2 linked regions of the Anolis sagrei genome follow. The protein of the gene in region 2 interacts with the protein of the main gene of each other region in a pairwise test. Links are inferred from orthologs where the notes say so. Each region holds a gene or a part of one and is shown on either strand. Other genes may lie near its edges.

Region 1 (8,649 bases), on a different chromosome or scaffold from region 2:
CTGTTTTTATTCTTTGTCAAGCAAGCAGGGAAAAAAGAGGTTAATTGCTCATTTGCAGGCTACCATCTGCGGCTGACTGTATTTGTGTTTTAACATGGATTGAATATTGAGTCATTTCTTGGCCTTCTATTTTCCAGATAAAACATACCTAGCTCCCTCAGCTTCTCCTCACAGAACTTGGGTGTTCTTGGGCAAGTCACATTCTCTTAACCTCAGAAGAAGGCAAATGCAGTCTCCCTCTGAAGTTCAGAGTCTGAACAAATCTCACCAAGAAATCCCCATGACAGGTTTACTTTAGGATTACCATAAGTCAGAAATGTCTTGAAGGCACAAAACAACAAAGTCATCAAGTAGCTTCTCCAACAAACAGCAACAATATTTAAGTTTGTTTCATGTCAGTAATGACTTGAGAAAATGCAAGTCACTTCTGGTGTGAGAGAATTGGCCATCTGCAAGTATATTGCCCAGGGGGCACACGGATGTTTTGATGTTTTACCATCCTTGTGAGAGGCTTCTCTCATATCCCCGTATGGGAAGCTGGAGCTGACAGTGGGAGCTCATCCATGCTCTCCCTGGATTTGAACCTCCAACCTGTCAGTCTTCAGTCCTGCCGGCACAAGGGTTTAACCCATTGCATCACCACAAAGTGTTATCTTATGAGTTACAGCTAAAGTCCTGACACATGCTAATAAATTATAATATACTTTTCAGTTGATTTCCCCACCCACAAGGTACATTCAAGCATGTGTGAATGGCCGCCCATCAAAAGCTCTGGATATTACTTTTTGCTGCTTGCTTGGGGTGACACAAAAACAGGGGTGTTCAGTAGCACTTTATAGGCTATGATACTGTGCTGCTGAATTGTGTTCAGCTTGGTGGGTTGCTTGTTATGCAGTCCTGAAGCATGAAGCCATATCTGCTTACAAGCCAAGCGTGACTATATCAAGAATCTGACAATTTGGGTATTCACAAGTTCTGTATTTATGTATGTTTTATTTTGTCCAGCTGAGCAAGTGCGTCAAGAGATAAAAATCTTTGTTATTGCTACAAGGCTAGTGATATTGCAAATGGTGCTGTTACCCAATGGCTCATAGCGACATCCTACACAACATTAAAAGAAATCAAAATGTAATTAGAAGTTGTAAATTGGTTGCAAAATTGTGAGTGGCCTCCATCCACCCTTTAGAACACCCATCAAGACATATGATTGGATGTGCATACATAGTTTTCTGGCATTTTATTTCTCACATGACTGCTTCCTTCATAGCTATCGCAACTGTAGTCTTTCTCTCCTCTGCTGCCACTACCTGTACCACCATAGTTCTGCTACTGTAGATCAATAATATTCCAACCATGGTCATCAAGGTATTTGGGCTGCCTTTGGTACTGACTGATGCTAGGTTTTCAGATCTGGTGAAAGTGGAAAATGAGCATTCATGACACTCCAAGAAGGGTAGTTATCAGAAGCAACTTTCAAAGGGCCCTTCCAGACAGGCCCTATATTCCAGGATCTGATCTCAGGTTTTCTTTTTATCTCAGATTATCTGGCAGTGAGGACACATATAATCCAGTTTAAAGCAGAAAACCTGGGATCAGATCTTGGGGTATAGAGCCTGTCTGGAAAGGCTCAAAGAGCATTATAGGACTGAAAAGGCAGCAATTGTACAAAAACGATATTTCCTGCCAGCACAGATGCCTAGCAGCCTGGATTTAGCATGCAAGTTGATAAATAGCATGGAAAACAGGTTTATTTTAAATCCTAAACCAACCCTGTTCCAATTATTCAAAATGAGGTTGCTGCCAAAATTGTGGGAGAGAATGTCACAAAGTTCAAGAAAATTTCAAGAGACTGAGTTATCTCTTGAAATTGAGTAAGAGATCCCACCACCTTTGTTTTCATGTCCTGACTTTAGTGTCTTCCACACATTCAAAGCAATCTAGAAATATGCAGTTATTAAAATTTCCCCAATACAGATATAGAAGAATGGAGAAAATGGCACTTGCAGCATTTCTATGTGCCCTTCCACACTACAAAATATACCATAAAGATTCCATCTTAAATGACAAAGCTCCACCCAGTGTCCTATGATTTGCAGTTGAGACCCCTCAGCCAGGGAGCCCTTCTGATGCTTCTGGTTAAACCACAAGTCCCAAAAATTCTGTAGGATGCAGCCATGGAAATTTAATAGGAAAAACCTCTAACTATGTGGTGTGAAAGGGCTCTCTGCTTGCTCCTCAGTTGTTAAAGATGACATCTGTGAGGTAGAAATTACTTAAATGCATTTACTCATTGGTTGTTAGTGGTTTCCACATAAAGGGAGTGGTGAACCAGGCTCAGGTTTTAGTTTAAATCTTAAAGGAATGATCCAAAATGATGGAACTGTTTGTGGCATGTGGTTCAGCACTTTGGACAGTTCAGACCCATAGTGCTGACATGAAAATCATCAATTGCCACTATAACTCATATTGTAGTACGAAGAGAGCAGAACTCTACATACACAGAGAAGATCTTTCAGAAGGTCCCAGGAAAGGGCGGCAAGGGAAACACTATGAATGAGGTAGATGGGGATCAATTGGTAAGAATTTTCATCACCTTGTGATTTCACCACATTGAACCCCCCCCCCTCAATTAATATGGTAAATGCAAAATATTTTGGGGCAGGAATTAGATCTATATGTGAAAGTAACACACTGCAAAAACTAATGTTCTGATACCAAAAACTAAGTCTGCTTAGATTGCCCAGGTTTAGTGGTACTGTTGATCTTTGAAGTCAAAGGATTTCAGGTTTCTTCCCTACTTTCTTCCCTTTCCAATCAAAAGTTTCCCAGGTAGAGAGCAGGACTGGGAAATGAATGATATCTGACTGAGAATTTTGGAGAACATGTGATAGAAAGTATTTCGGGAATGCAAAACAGAGGAAATCTGTTCTGTTTTTGTTTTGAATGTGTTCCCCCAATTCTGTTTTCATGAAAATTCCAGGAGATTAGGAGGGGGCCATTCGGATTCGTAATCTGGAACCCTGAGTTCCGTTTTCATTTTTATAAGATTTGGTCCATTGGCACCAATGGGAAAATTTTAGAGGCTAATTTCTCGATCATTTTTATGGCTATGAGGATTAAACATTGCACATTTGTAGGGCATGAAATGTTTCAGGATGTTTCGCTCGTTCACTGATGTTTTGAAAAAAAATTTTTTACAAATACCATTTTTAAAAAAACCCAGAAGATTTTTTTTAAATTTACCCATAGTGACGGAATATGAGTAGGACATCATTCCAGGAAAGTTTCAGAAAGATCTGGTCATCCACTGACTTTTAAGGATTTTCTTCAATAGCTGAAGCAGCATTATCTCTCAGTTGGAGCAATGGGTCTGAGTGCAGACATATGTGTTGCATCACATGGTCTGACTCAGCTACTCTCAGGCTTGTTTTACTCTCCATTGTCCTGGACTTCAAGTCCAAGAATTCCCTGGGTTTTTTTTCGTGCAAGGTGTCCCCTCCTCTCAGTCTGAGAGAGCGATTTTTTTTAAAAAAATCCTAAAAATCAATGGATGGCCACATGTTTTTAAAACTTTGCAGGATTGATGCCCTACTCATTTTCTGTCACTGTGAGTAATTTTTGTTGAAATAATTTTTTATTTGCTATAAAGAATGACATATAGTTTCCAAGTAAAGTGGGGGAACATAGTATTTTGAAGAAAAATGGGAAAGCAAGGAGATAGAAGTAAAGCAAAAAAAAAGGACAAAGTATGTATATATAAAAATGGGAAATTTTTAAAAATACCTCTTTTTGGTTTTGTTTTTTTAAAAAAATATTTGTAAAAACTTTTAAAAATTTCCAAAAAAAAATGGATAAGTGAAACATTCTGAAATATGGCAAGCTTACAGCTATAAATGTGCCCTACAGGTGTAGTAAGTTTAATCCTGATAGTAAATTATTTCCCAATTCTCTGAGGCTGAGAGAGTGTGACACACCCATGGTGCTTAAATTGGGGGTCCTCTTAGGGGAAACTCTAGAGGCTTATTTCTCCATCATTTTTATGACTATCAGGATTAAACTTCCATGGAAACCAAGGGGAAAATTAGTATCCTTGCTTTCTTTTAAAATTAAGCTGTGTGAAGAATCGTCTTTAATTTACTAGAGGGTATTTTGAACATCCCACCACCATAGTCCTTCATCCCTCCCACTTCTGTGGATAGTTAGTTTCCTTACCCTGTTGATGGCCAAGTTCCCTCGGATATGGGGCGGTGTGAGTTGATGCAAGAGGGCAGCTCCTGTCACTGCTCCCAGAATCTGTGCCACCACATAGAAGACTGCTCTCAAGAAGGAGACCTGAGAGCCCACCAGACATGCCACAGTCACAGCAGGGTTAATATGGGCTCCACTGATGTGGCCCAAGGTCTGGACCAAGGTTGCAATAGCCAAGCCAAAGGCCAGTGAAATCTGGAGGACATTTGGTGGGGATGAAGGCCAGTTCAAAGCCGAGCCAAGGCCAAAAAAGATAAAAATCAGCGTGGCTATGAATTCTGCAAAGACTGCACGAGTGAAAGCCACGGAGCGAAGTTCCCACATCATTGGTGAGGGCTGTGTAGGAGAGTGGAAGCTGATCTCTCAGCTCACTTCTCTGTGGTAATAAATAATAGTAGATCCTGGAAGGATACTGGAGTTTTTCAATTTCTCCTTCCTTGTATGTACTACATATGCTTATGCATAATATATATGCATGCAGAATAGCTAGAGATCTCCAAGAGGAGGTGGGGTTTGGATACATAATGCCTTTTCTTTCCTGTTCTAGCTGAAGAGTTTTCAGACCCTGCCTTCTTCTCTCATAACTTGAAAAATTAGCATTTGACTTTCCAATACTGAACTACTGTGTGCATGTAGTAGTCCTAAGTGAGTCAAACACCAGTCCGTATACTGAGATGCAGACCTCCAACACCACTCCACCATCATGATCTGATGAACTTAGCCATTTTTTCAGATTTGTCCTTGTCTATTTTATGTTTGTGCATTTAGCAAGTGTTTCCATTTACTCATTTTATGCTTAGTTTTGAGCCTTCTGGAGCAGGTGTATGGGTGCACATGCCTCAGCATGCCCTGTTTGGCATTACACCACCAATTGGGCATTTGCTGACCTACTGACCTCCTTCCATCAATCTGTTTCTGATGGGAACACAGTGTTTCATTGATTTCATCACTTGAGAGCTGTCATTTTAGCTTTCCCACAATGGAGTGTCCCATGACACTGGTGGCTGCTAGATTGGTTAGGGGGCATTATAAAAATCTTTGTCAAGGGCCCTTAAACACTTTATTTATTTTACAGATTATCATGTGGGACTCAGTCAACATACCAGGACTAGGGGCTTCAAAATTCAAGTTCCAGAGATAAATGATTAGCCTCTAGAATACAGAAAACCATCTGCATTCAAAGAATGCCAGATTCACATCCAAGAGACCCTTAATATATTAGTTGTAAATCTTCTAACCTTGGATTTAACTCAACTGTCATATTCCAATTGTGAATTATAATAAACAAGGATTCCTCCAGATATTTGCCTTTATTACAATAATCTGATAGTGAAATTAATAATTAGTCATGCACATAAGACTTTTCAATTGGATATCTATTTGTCATTCAGACATTATTGCACTGGAATCCTGTGTCAGCTGCTTTGTGTAAAAAAATCCTTTGGAGAAAAGATAATGCTTTTGTTTACAGTTATAACCCACCTTTCCTCTACCTCTCTCAAGTTGGCATGGGTACACTTTATCCATTACTAGGACTGCTAACTCCAACGACCCATAACACAGGAGTGAGAATTATGGATACCATAACATTTCCCCCTTATTGGCTTCTTCTGCTTCAAAAACATGCAGGGCCACATGATTTCCACCACTGCCTTCATGTCATTCATCCACTTTAACTACTTTTGGGTATGCAGTTTGAATCACGTGAGATTATAATTCACTAGACTTGATGGACTCATATAAAGAAAGGAATGCTTTGCAAAAAGAAAAAAAAATCCAAGGGAATTCGTTCTTGAGTAGAGAGAAACGTTGAAAATGTTTTCAAATCTCACTTTAGGACTATTTTTCATTTAATAAATCAATAACTTACACAATAATTTAATTCTGAGCTGGTTCTAGATACCATATCTGAGCAAACTTTATGATGTGTCTGTAAGGCAGGCCAGTATTATTAGACATCTTGTCAATAATAGGTGATGGGCAGAAGTTTAGCGGAGACAACTGAGGTTATACATAGGATGTTGGGAAACTGGAGCATGTTGAAGTAGTACTGTTCAATAAAATAATTTATGAGCTTGTAGCTTCCTATCTTACTGCCTGTTTAATTTTTTTGCCAGGCAACAAGATAGACTGGTCTAGGCTTCTTGAAGGTGTCATTTAGGCTACAATAAAACCACAAATAGATACCTGAATTTTCAGAGTCTATTGACTCTGAGGTCAATCTGCCTCTTCCACTACCATAATCCACCCAGGTTTTTAATCCTGCCCCAGAATTTGATCTTTAGTCTGAGTGCTTTGATTAAATTAGAAAAAGAATCGTGTCCAGGCTAAGCTTTGGCTCTGTTCCTCAAAACTTAATTTCAGGATTCTGCCACTGGCCAATCAGCTTCTTCCTTGTTTCTAGCCATTGTGATTTTCAGTTGTTGTAAATGGCAACTTGTGGTTGGCCTTTAAACTGTGCCACATTCTTTTTCCAGAATCTGAATTTTGCCTTGGAATTTTTCCTCTGTTAATCTAACACCTACCTCTTGACTTACCCCTCCACCAAATCTGAAATCCTAACAACAACAACAACAACAACAACAACAACAACAACAACAACAACAACTTCATTTGTACTCTGCCCATCTCCCTGCAGGACTCATGGTGGCTCACAACATGAAAAATACAATAAGTTACATAAAAATAAACAAATAATAACACATCAAATCACTATAAAAACAAGCTAGATAAACCATAACACAAGTCAACAAAATGAAAAATAAGACATTATAACACATTAGTTAAAAACATAGCCATTCCTATGAGTTAAAAGGACCCTACTATCCAAAACAAAGGCCTTGTCCACATTAAAAGTGTTGACTAATCATTGCCAAAAGACTATTTAAACAGCCTTGTCTTCAAATCCCTCCTAAATGTCATAAGATGATTGTTTTTCTAATCTCTCTGTTCCAGAGCCAGGGGACTACTACTGAGAAGACCCTCTCCCTGGTCCCCATCAGCCTCACTGGCAAGGGGGGAGGGATCGAGAGGACTGATCCAGAGGATATCACCAGGAAGTCGTCATAGCCCAGGGAATTTTCTTTTCTGTTTCAGTATTTTTGACAATACAATAGTATAATTCTAACACATATTGCTAAAATGCACGCAGCTCACTGGGAGTCCATCTATTTGGAAACCCTGCGATTTCATTGGTGCAGACAATACAGTTGCAGATCAAAACTATTTTACACCATGAGTATATTCATAGTTTTATCTAATTCCTCATTTAACTATAAAAGCTCTTTGTAGTTAGCTAAGCTCATATGGTACACATGTAATCTGTAGGTGAGATCTTCTTCGAATCCTTACAAGCTCAGTAGAAAGAGATTGCATTCGACTGATTTGGACAGCCTACAGTCCACCTCTACATCACAAGCATGACTTTGTGCACACTACAATTATACTGCTAGTAAAGCATTCAAAGAGGTGTCAACTCAGGAGGTAAACATCTTGATGCTGCCATGGCTGCAAATTATGTTTTCTGGTCCGATCAGGCCTATAGCATAACTAGAACCATCTCACATTTCCTAGAGGTGCGGTGGCTTTGCCGTTTCAGCATGTAGCTTCTCATGAATGCTTATTTTATTTTACTCTACTTTCCCAAGAGAAAGATAATTTCTTAACACGTAATTGCTGACATTATTGGAATCGGCTTCAGGAAGTATTAAGAAGTAACAAGGAGGCATTGTGGCAATATTAGGATTGAGAGCCCAGTTTAGCTACACTTTGCACATGGATACTTTGTTATAGTTTTAACATAATAGTTTTAACTACACTAATCATATGCTCATGTCTACTCTAGATCTAAGTTTCTTATTTATTTGTTTTTTTAACCCTCTTGTTTGACTTCTTCTCCAGGAAACCTTTATCCACCTTTATCTCATAAAAGAGCAGTTATGGTGTAAGCAATTACATCACTTTTTTTATTTTTCTCCTAATAAGAAACAGTCATGACAACATTTTTTTTCATGTCAGGAGCAACTTGAGAAACTACAAGTCCCTTCTGGTGTGAGAGAATCAACTGTCTGCAAGGACATTGCCCAGGGGATGGTCAGATGTTTTACCATCCTGTGGGAGGCTTCTCTCACATCCTTGCATGAGAAGCTGGGGCTGACAGATGGTAGCTCACCCTGCTCTCTGGATTCAAACCTCCATCCTTTCAGTCAGCAGTCCTGCCAGCACAAGGGTGTAACCCACTGCGTCACCAGGGTTTCCGTAACAACAATGAATGTCCAGTTAGCAATGTAGATAATAATAATATAAACAGCAATTATTATACTATAATAAGCATTCACAAAGAGCACACATGAATAGCCACTCCTTGAGATTGGTCATCAGTCTAAGGCCATTTCTACACTG
Region 2 (8,649 bases):
TTCTTGGCTCATAGGCAGAATTCAGAAGTTTGTTGCTGGACTTTCTAATATACCGTACACGTGGCCTTAATGTGTACTAATGTGTATACATGCAAACAGAAGTGAGACTAAGTAGGGGAAAATGGTGTGCACAGATAGGGATTTTATTTGCAAGGGAAGCAGATTATTCTAATGGGGGGATTCACATATATATCAGTTTTCCAAAAGACACATATACTGGTTTAGCACTGAAGACTGCTCATATGCATTCATTACAGAAATGGAGAGGACTGCCTAATATAGCCACCTCCCAAGTGCATAAAGGAGTACACAGACTTAATTAACTGGAAGTAAAGCTACACATATAATGAGAGAGTGAGTGAGCTTGTTACATAAATTAGGGAGACAGGTTATTCCATGGAAATAGCAGAGCTGGTGATTCTCTTTCTCGTGGGGGAAAGAGCTCTAACACAGCTTTCCAGAACCTGATATTCCTACAAACAGTGTCTTCTGGAATCCAAACAATGGATTGTTGTGGAGGTGATTGTCGATTGGAGCAGAATACACCACTCTGAGCATAAAACAAGTAAGTATGTCCGAGTCACTATCTGTAATGGAAAAAATATAACTAGAGGGAATAAATTTGACTCAGTATAAAATAGCTTCCTCTTCGTAGGGATTATGCAACATTATACAGATCTGAGCTGGATACACACATTTTTCCATTATACATATATACAGTGTTCCCTCACTTATTGCGGGTGTTACATTCCAGGACCACCCGTGATAAGTGAAAATCCACAATGTAGGGATGCTATATATTTATACCACATTCCGAGGGTGAGGCAGAAGTGAGGAGAGATTTAAAGGTACCGCACACCTTTTTTTGCTAGCTATCTTTGCTTTGCTTTGCAATCTCTCTTGATTAGCTGCCTCTCTCCTGAGGGGGAGGGTGAAACCCCCTTCCACACTCCATCGTTGCCAGGAGGTGGGATTAGAATGCCACTCTGGGCAACGGCAAACATTCATAAACTGGGGGCAAAAAACCGTGAAACAGCGAAGTTTGCGAAAAGCGAACCGCAAAGTAGCGAGGGAACACTGTACATGTTTTGGACAGCTCCAAGGGGCCTGTTCTTCACCTAATTTATAACGTTGAAAATATGCTTCTGCCTTCTACATTAGTGAGTAGAGGTAGACATAGGTCTGACATAGGTCTGAATTCAATTGTTTGCTCCAACTAATGTAGCCTTGTGGAATCAATGATCTCACATAAGTATTGACTCCCCAAATTCGCATTCATTCATTATGTCTACATTTGCTAGGATTAACAACTGGACGTAGTTCATAGTGATTCAGCCGGAACTGAAAGATGTGTGTCATGGAAAGGGAGGAATCTTGTGGGACCTGTAAGACTAACTTATTTCAATGTTTGAAAAAGTGGTCTGGAGTCCATGAAAAATGCAACCACAAGATTTCTCTATACCACATATTAACACAGTAGACCATGAATAGGCAAACCCAGGTCATATCCTTCCTTCCTTCCCTCTTTCTTTCCTCCACCCCTCTCTCTTTCTCCCTTCTTCCTTTCCTTCCACCCTTTCGTCTTTCCTTCCTCCTTTCTTTCTTTCCTCCCTCCCTCCTTCTCTCTCCTCCTTTCTCCTATCTTCCTTCTCCTTTGTCTTTCCTTCCTTCTCTCCTCCCTCCCTTCCCTTTCTCCCTCTCCCTAGTACCTTCCACCCTTTTGTCCTTCCTTCCTTCTCTCTTTCCTCCCCCCCTCTCTCCCTTTCTCCTTTCTCTTTTGTCTTTCCTTCTCTCCTCCCCCCGTTTCCCTCCATTCCCTTCCACCCTTCCTTCCATCTTTCTCTTCCTATCTTTTTTCCTTTTCTTGTTCCTTCCTCCTTTCCTCCTGGGGGATGTTTAGCTGAGAGGAGAGAAGGTAGAATCCCCTTGGGGAAATAGGGCAGGTTATAAATACAGTCTTATTATTATAATAGAGAGAGAACACAAGAGCCATGTTTCAAGATTGAGGAGGAGGGGAAAACTGATTTTCTACTGCTCTAGAGACCAGGACACAAGGGAGCAATGGTTTAAAATGGCAGGGAAAGATATTTGACTGAAAAGAACTTCCTAAGAGTAAGAGCTGTTGGAGAGTAGCATAGGCTGCCTCTGAGTGTGGTGGAGTCTCCTTCTCTGGAGGCTTTTACACAAGGGTTGTCTATTGGGAGTGCTTTGATTGTGCCTTCCTGCATGGCAGGGGGATGGACTGGATGGCCCTTGGGGGTCTCTTTCAGTGCTTGGATTCTATATCAGGAGTAGGCAATACGGGGTCGAATGTATATACTTTTTCTCTCCAGTCCACCATCTCATCCTGACCAAGACCAACCCTTTTGGGATCCAAACGTTTCCTGTCTTTCCTTCACTTTCTGCCTTTGAAAGAGAAGAGGAAGGGGAGGAAAGGGCAGGAAGGGGACTTGGGGAGAACCCCCTTCCTCCTGGCCCACCATGTGGCCCCCAAGTTAGAAAGTTTGCCCATGCCTTCAGTAGTCTCTCAGTCAATCTGAAGCCAAGCAACTGGAACTCTCAAGCAACTGGCAAAAAAAAAGTCAAAAAACTAAAACATCAAATGTAAAAAGCTGTTTTTATAATATAGTAAAATACTAAAACTGTGTTACGTTAAGTTTGTCTTTACTGTTTTAATTTTAATTTCTGCATTTGAATATTAATATCAAATCAATACAAAGTTTATGGTATGGCTTGGCACAACTAGGGATATAGTATCAGTTAGGCCTATTTTGAATAATAATTCTCAAGGAATAAAAAACTATATTTATCTGGCAGCTGCCAATCCCTGTGGTTTCTGGTTAACTGGGAAGCTACTAAATTACGTACCTATTTATCTGAAAGCTGCTGCAATATCTTTAAAGGCTTTTAAACTTTTAAAGAAAAAACACTGTGAGCTACTTCAAGGAGTAAATGTTTAAAAATTAAAAAAAATATGATATATGAACAAGCATTTCCAAACCTCAAACAAAATATAGATCTTAAGGCTAAAAGTTGAGTATTTCCCATGTGTAAAAAAAGAAAAAAAGAAAATAGCCTTCCTGAATATCTTACCAAGGTTTGGCTTGCCTGTGTACAGCTTCTCAGAGAGAAAGCTGTGATCTCTGAAGCTTTGCACTGTGTTCCCCATGGCAATGATGGACACCATAACTAGCCAGCTACGGAGCACATTCAGGAAACGGCTCATCTTGCATCACACAACCTGCTCAGGGGAACAAAGGCAGATTCTGGAGTTCATGATACCACTCTGCATCATAATTCATAGTCACATTAACTATCCTCCACCAAATGTTTGCATACTTATCTCCTAGATCAGTCGACCAAGAGTGGGAATCATTGAATTCCCCAGATGTTGCAGAACTGCAATTCCCAGCATTCCTTACAATTGCTTAAGTTGTTATCACAGCTGGGAATTGCATTGCAGCAACATCTGGAGAACCACAAATGTTCACCTTCAGAATGGACCTTTGGAGGGGGAAAACCACAGTTACATCCACCACTTTCTATAAGGATCACCTAATTAAAAAGATCATGCTCCATAATAAAGACAAAGGACCTCATCACACTAGAGCATGTATCCACTTTAAATCCAGTTTTTGCCTCCTGCAGAATTCTGGGACTTGTAGTTTAGGGGGGGGGCTTTACACTGTTCAGCCAGACACGTCCTGGGCCTCACTAAACTACAAACCCCAGAATTCTGCAGGAGGTGGATTTAAGGTGGATCCATGCTCTGGTGTGATGAGGCTGAAAGACAGAAACCTTATATCTCATCTACTGAGATATTGGCATGAGGTTAGTTACTGAATTGTCTCTGGTACCATTTCTGTACTGACCTAATTTGGGGGGAGGCGTAGCAGAAGCAACATTCAAAAATGCACACAGAGGACTAGTTGCACATCAATGTTGCTAATTCATTTGTTTTATCCCTGCACTCAGGTAGGATACATCTACTCTCTCGACTTAATACACTTTGACAGCACTTTAACTTTCATGGCTCAATGCTATAGAATCATGGGAGTTGTAGTTTTATGAGGTCTTCATTCATCTCTATCAAAGAATGCTGTTATCTCAACCAAACTACACCTTTCAGGATACCAATGCATTGAGCAATGGAAGTTAAAGTGGTTTTAAACTGCATTCATTCTATAATGTAGACACACCAATTTTTCAGTGCATAACAGGGGAGGCCAGATAACTAAGAAAAAAGGAAAGTATCAGGCAAGCAGGTGGATTTTTTTTTTTTTTGCTGTTCCTGATAGCCTGTCTCCTATTTTAATTTTAATATAGGAGCACCCACAGGATGCATATTTAGCAATAATGCACTGGAAACTTACTTTTTAAAAAATTGCAATACATCCCAATACAAAGATATTGCATTTTGGCATGCTGGAAACACCTAGCGACCATGATGTCCATCATCCTTGTCAAATGTCATTTTCTCTTGACAACTCTAATATTACCTGCCACCTGTTCCCTAACTTCATAACACCAACCCATCCACAGGGCAGTCCTCCATATGCAGCCCCCCCATCAAGGAATACCTCTATGCCTACCTTGCTCTTTAACAGGTTGTCTACCTGGTTCCCAGAGGCAGCAAGCTTTCCACCCTACCTCCAACCCAAGGAGCTGTAGCCACGCCCCCTTCGCTGCCTGCGCAATGATTGGCCCGCTGTCAGGGTTGTCGTTCTCCTGATTGGTTGTCACCTCCCACTCCAAGTCTTAGCCCCGCGCCACGCGAATGGCTGAACGGATAGGTCAATCAAATATTTTGAAAGCGATTGGGCCGTTGTGACGTCAACACAGAAGGGGCGGTTCGATGAGGCAAATTGCACCACTGCCCTCCCTTCCTGGTTATAAAAGGATATTGGACGGCGCCATATTGGAAGAGGCATGTGGAAATGAATGAGGGGGGATTGGATAGGTGCGCATGCGCAACTGGGGAAAGCGCCTCGGGCGGGAGTGAGGAGCCTGCGCTTGCGCAGACGCGCCTTCGATGAGGGAGCGAGCGAGGGAGGGAGGAAGGCGGTTGCTGGTTGGTTGTTGTAGTAACAGAGCGAAGCGCCGGCAAGAGGAGCCGCGGCTGCCGGGCCCTCCAGGGAGATGAAGCCGCAGGTAAGGGCGCCACGGGCTTCAGGAGCGGCAGAGTGGGCACTCACCCTCGGGAGGCTCCCAGGAGGAGGGCAGCAGGCGGTGTCTCCTACTCCCTCAAAGGTCCTGGGCCTGTCCTGAGGGGGGAACGGGGAGCAGCCTGCTTTGGCCCAGAAGAGAGAGGCCGCTCAGGGACACGGCAACACGGGCGGGAGGGGGAAGCGACTTGGTTGGACTACAACTCCCAGAATCCCCAAGTCCCCACGCTAGATTCAGTATCTATAGTGTTTATTTATTATTTATTTATTTACTTTGATTATATACCGCTGTATCTCAAGCCCGAAGGCGACTCACGGCGGTTCACAAACAGTAAAAACAGTAGAAACAGCAGTGGTTCCATACAACATATAACAATTGACTTAACACATTATCCATAAATTACCAATAAGCAATTACAATGCACAATTATTACAAAAAACAACCGTACCCAATCTTCTCATCATCCAAGCGTAGTCCAGGTTCGTCGTCCATTGTTCCATTCCTATGTTCCATTACCAGATTGCACTAAATTACTCAAACGCCTGCACAAACATCCAGGTCTTCACCTTTTTGCGGAATACCATTAGAGATGGTGCTAGTCTAATGTCCGTAGGAAGGGCGTTCCACAGGCGAGGAGCCACCACCGAGAAGGCCCTATCTCTCGTCCCCGCCAGCCAAGCTTGAGAAGCAGGCGGGATCGAGAGCAGGGTCTCCCCGGAAGATCTCAAACTCCTGGTGGGTTCATAGGCAGAGATGCGGTCAGATAGGTAGCTTGGGCCGGAACCGTTTAGGGCTTTAAAGGCCAACGCCAGCACTTTGAATTCAGCCCGGTAGCAGATCGGTAGCCAGTGGAGTTGGCGCAACAGGGGGGTTGTATGCTCCCTGCGCTCCGCTCCTGTTAAAATCATGGCTGCCGAGTGTTGGACTAGTTGGAGCTTCCGAGCTGTCTTCAAAGGCAACCCCACGTAGAGAGCGTTGCAGTAGTCTAAACGGGATGTAACCAGAGCGTGGACTACTGTGGCCAAGTCAGACTTCCCAAGGTATGGGCGCAGCTGGCGCACAAGCTTTAGCTGTGCAAATGCTCCCCTGGTCACCGCCGAAACCTGGGGTTCCAGGCTCAGCGATGAGTCCAGGGTCATACCCAAGCTGCGAACCTGCATCTTCAGGGGGAGTGCGGCCCCATCCAACACGTGTTTAACATAGATTTAACATAGATCAAGTGTTTAACATAGATTTCAAATTATGTAAACAAAACACAGTATAACCCAGGCATGGGCAAACGTGGGCCCTCCAGGTATATTGGACTCCAACTCCCACAATTCCTAACAGCCGGTAGGAAAAGTGTTCCTGCCATACATCAAGGGAACCACTGACCGCATAGGGAAACTGATGAGGAAACACAACATACAAACAATCTACAAATCTCACTGTACACTGTCTTCTTTGTTGTTGTTCACCGCCCCGAGTCGCCTTCGGGCTGAGAGGGGCGGTCAATAAATGCAAGAAATAAATAAATAATAAATAATACAAACCCACCAAGAAAATCCAACAAATGCTACGTTCAGCAAAGGACAAGAGGGATCCTCTCACCTCTGCAGGAGTCTACCGTATACCATGCAGCTGTGGACAAGTCTACATAGGGACCACCAAACGCAGCGCCCAGACACGCATCAAGGAACATGAAAGGCACTGCAGACTACTTCAACCAGAGAAGTCAGCTATAGCAGAGCACCTGATGAACCAGCCTGGACACAGCATATTATTTGAGAACACAAAAATGCTGGACCACTCTCACATCCACCATGCCAGACTACACAGGGAAGCCATTGAAATCCACAAACATGTGGACAATTTCAACAGAAAGGAAGAAACCATGAAAATGAACAAAATCAGGCTACCAGTATTAAAAAATTCTAAAATTGCAACACCAAAAAAGAGAGAAAAACAGGCAGGGACATCTAATCACCTTTCAAGAAGAGTTTGCTCCAGGCACAGTCAGCCCATTGTATGCTAATCAAGGTGGTCAGTTGAAAGATTCACACCTAGCCCAAACTTACAAAAGCCCTGTGTCTCACCCTGGTCATTCCACAGATATATAAACCCCTTTTTTCCCCAGTTCCAGCAGACCTCACCTCTGAGGATGCTTGCCATACATGCAGGCGAAACGTCAGGAGAAATGCCTCTAGAACATGGCCATATAGCCCGAAAAAACCCACAAGAACTGAGCTGGTAGGAATTGTGGGAGTTGAAGTCCAAAACACCTGGAGGGCCCAAGTTTGCCCATGCCTGATATAACCACACTTGGTCTCTCCAGGTGTTTTGGACTTCAGCTCCCACAGTTCCTAACAGCCTGTAGGAAATGTTAATCATTTCCACTACCTTGGCAGCCACCTCTCCACAAAAGTCAACATTGACACTGAAATACAACACCGCCTGAGCTCTGCGAGTGCAGGTTTTTTTCCGAATGAAGCAGAGAGTGTTTGAGGGCCGGGACATCCGTAGGGATACCAAGGTGCTTGTTTATAAAGTTATTGTCTTCTCAACCCTGCTATACACCTGCGAGACATGGACTGTCTACAGAAGTCACATGCAACTCTTGGAACGATTCCATCAGCGCTGCCTCCGGAAAATCCTGCAAATCTCTTGGGAAGACAAGCGGACAAATGTCATCGTGTTGGAAGAAGCAAATACTGCCAGCATTGTAACCCGGGACCGAAGGCTGGAGACCTCAGTACACTATACCTGGGACGTCGACCTCTTCCACCGAGCGCGCAGCTTCGGGAGGGACGCACATGGAGGTGAGGGAGGAAGGGGACACCTGCCTAGCCAGCCAGATCAGCCGAATCAACCCTGGCGATCAGTGGGGTGACAGATGTCGCAGCCAGATCGCCCTCACATCCCTGCCAGCATCGAAGCAATGGTCCTCCGCCATCAACTCTGCTGGACCGGCCATGTTGTCCGGATGCCTGACCACCATCTCCCAAAGCAGTTGCTCTGCTCTGAACTCAAGAACAGAAAATGGAATGTTGGTGGGCAGGAAAAGAAATTTAAAGATGGGCTCAAAGCCAATCTTAAAAATTCTGGCATAGACACTGAGAACTGAGAAGCTCCAGCCCTTGAGCGCTCCAACTGGAGTCAGCTGTGACCAGCAGTGCTGTAGAATTTGAAGAGGCATGAATGGAGGGCAAAAGAGGGAAGCGTCCCAAGAGGAAGGCGTGTCAAGCCAACCCCTTCAGGACCGCCTTCCACCTGGAAACCAATACCCTCACTGCGGGAGAAGATGCAGATCAAGAATAGGGCTCCACAGTCACCTACGGAGCCACCGCCAGTACACTGATCATGGGAGACTATCCTATTCGGAAAACAAGGGATCGCCTAAATCAAAATGAAATGATAGGAATTGTGAGAGTTGAAGTCCAAAACACCTGGAGGGCGCAAGTTTGCCCATGCCTGCTCTAGCAACTATTAAACACACATTCTACA

The links.
Region 1: the proteins of ERG28 (region 2) and AQP2 interact in binary tests that used the Homo sapiens proteins (3 or more experiments, as listed by UniProt). The link is inferred for Anolis sagrei from reciprocal best matches to the Homo sapiens genes ERG28 and AQP2.

The regions. Positions count from the first base shown.
Region 1 is NC_090022.1:135,997,092-136,005,740, forward strand, and holds the start of AQP2 (aquaporin-2), read right to left. Parts: upstream 4,610-8,649; 5' UTR 4,576-4,609; coding exon 4,213-4,575; intron 1-4,212. UniProt on the Homo sapiens protein: Forms a water-specific channel that provides the plasma membranes of renal collecting duct with high permeability to water, thereby permitting water to move in the direction of an osmotic gradient. Plays an essential role in renal water homeostasis.
Region 2 is NC_090021.1:305,422,505-305,431,153, forward strand, and holds the start of ERG28 (ergosterol biosynthetic protein 28 homolog), read right to left. Parts: upstream 4,681-8,649; 5' UTR 4,593-4,680; intron 3,242-4,592; 5' UTR 3,227-3,241; coding exon 3,094-3,226; intron 1-3,093.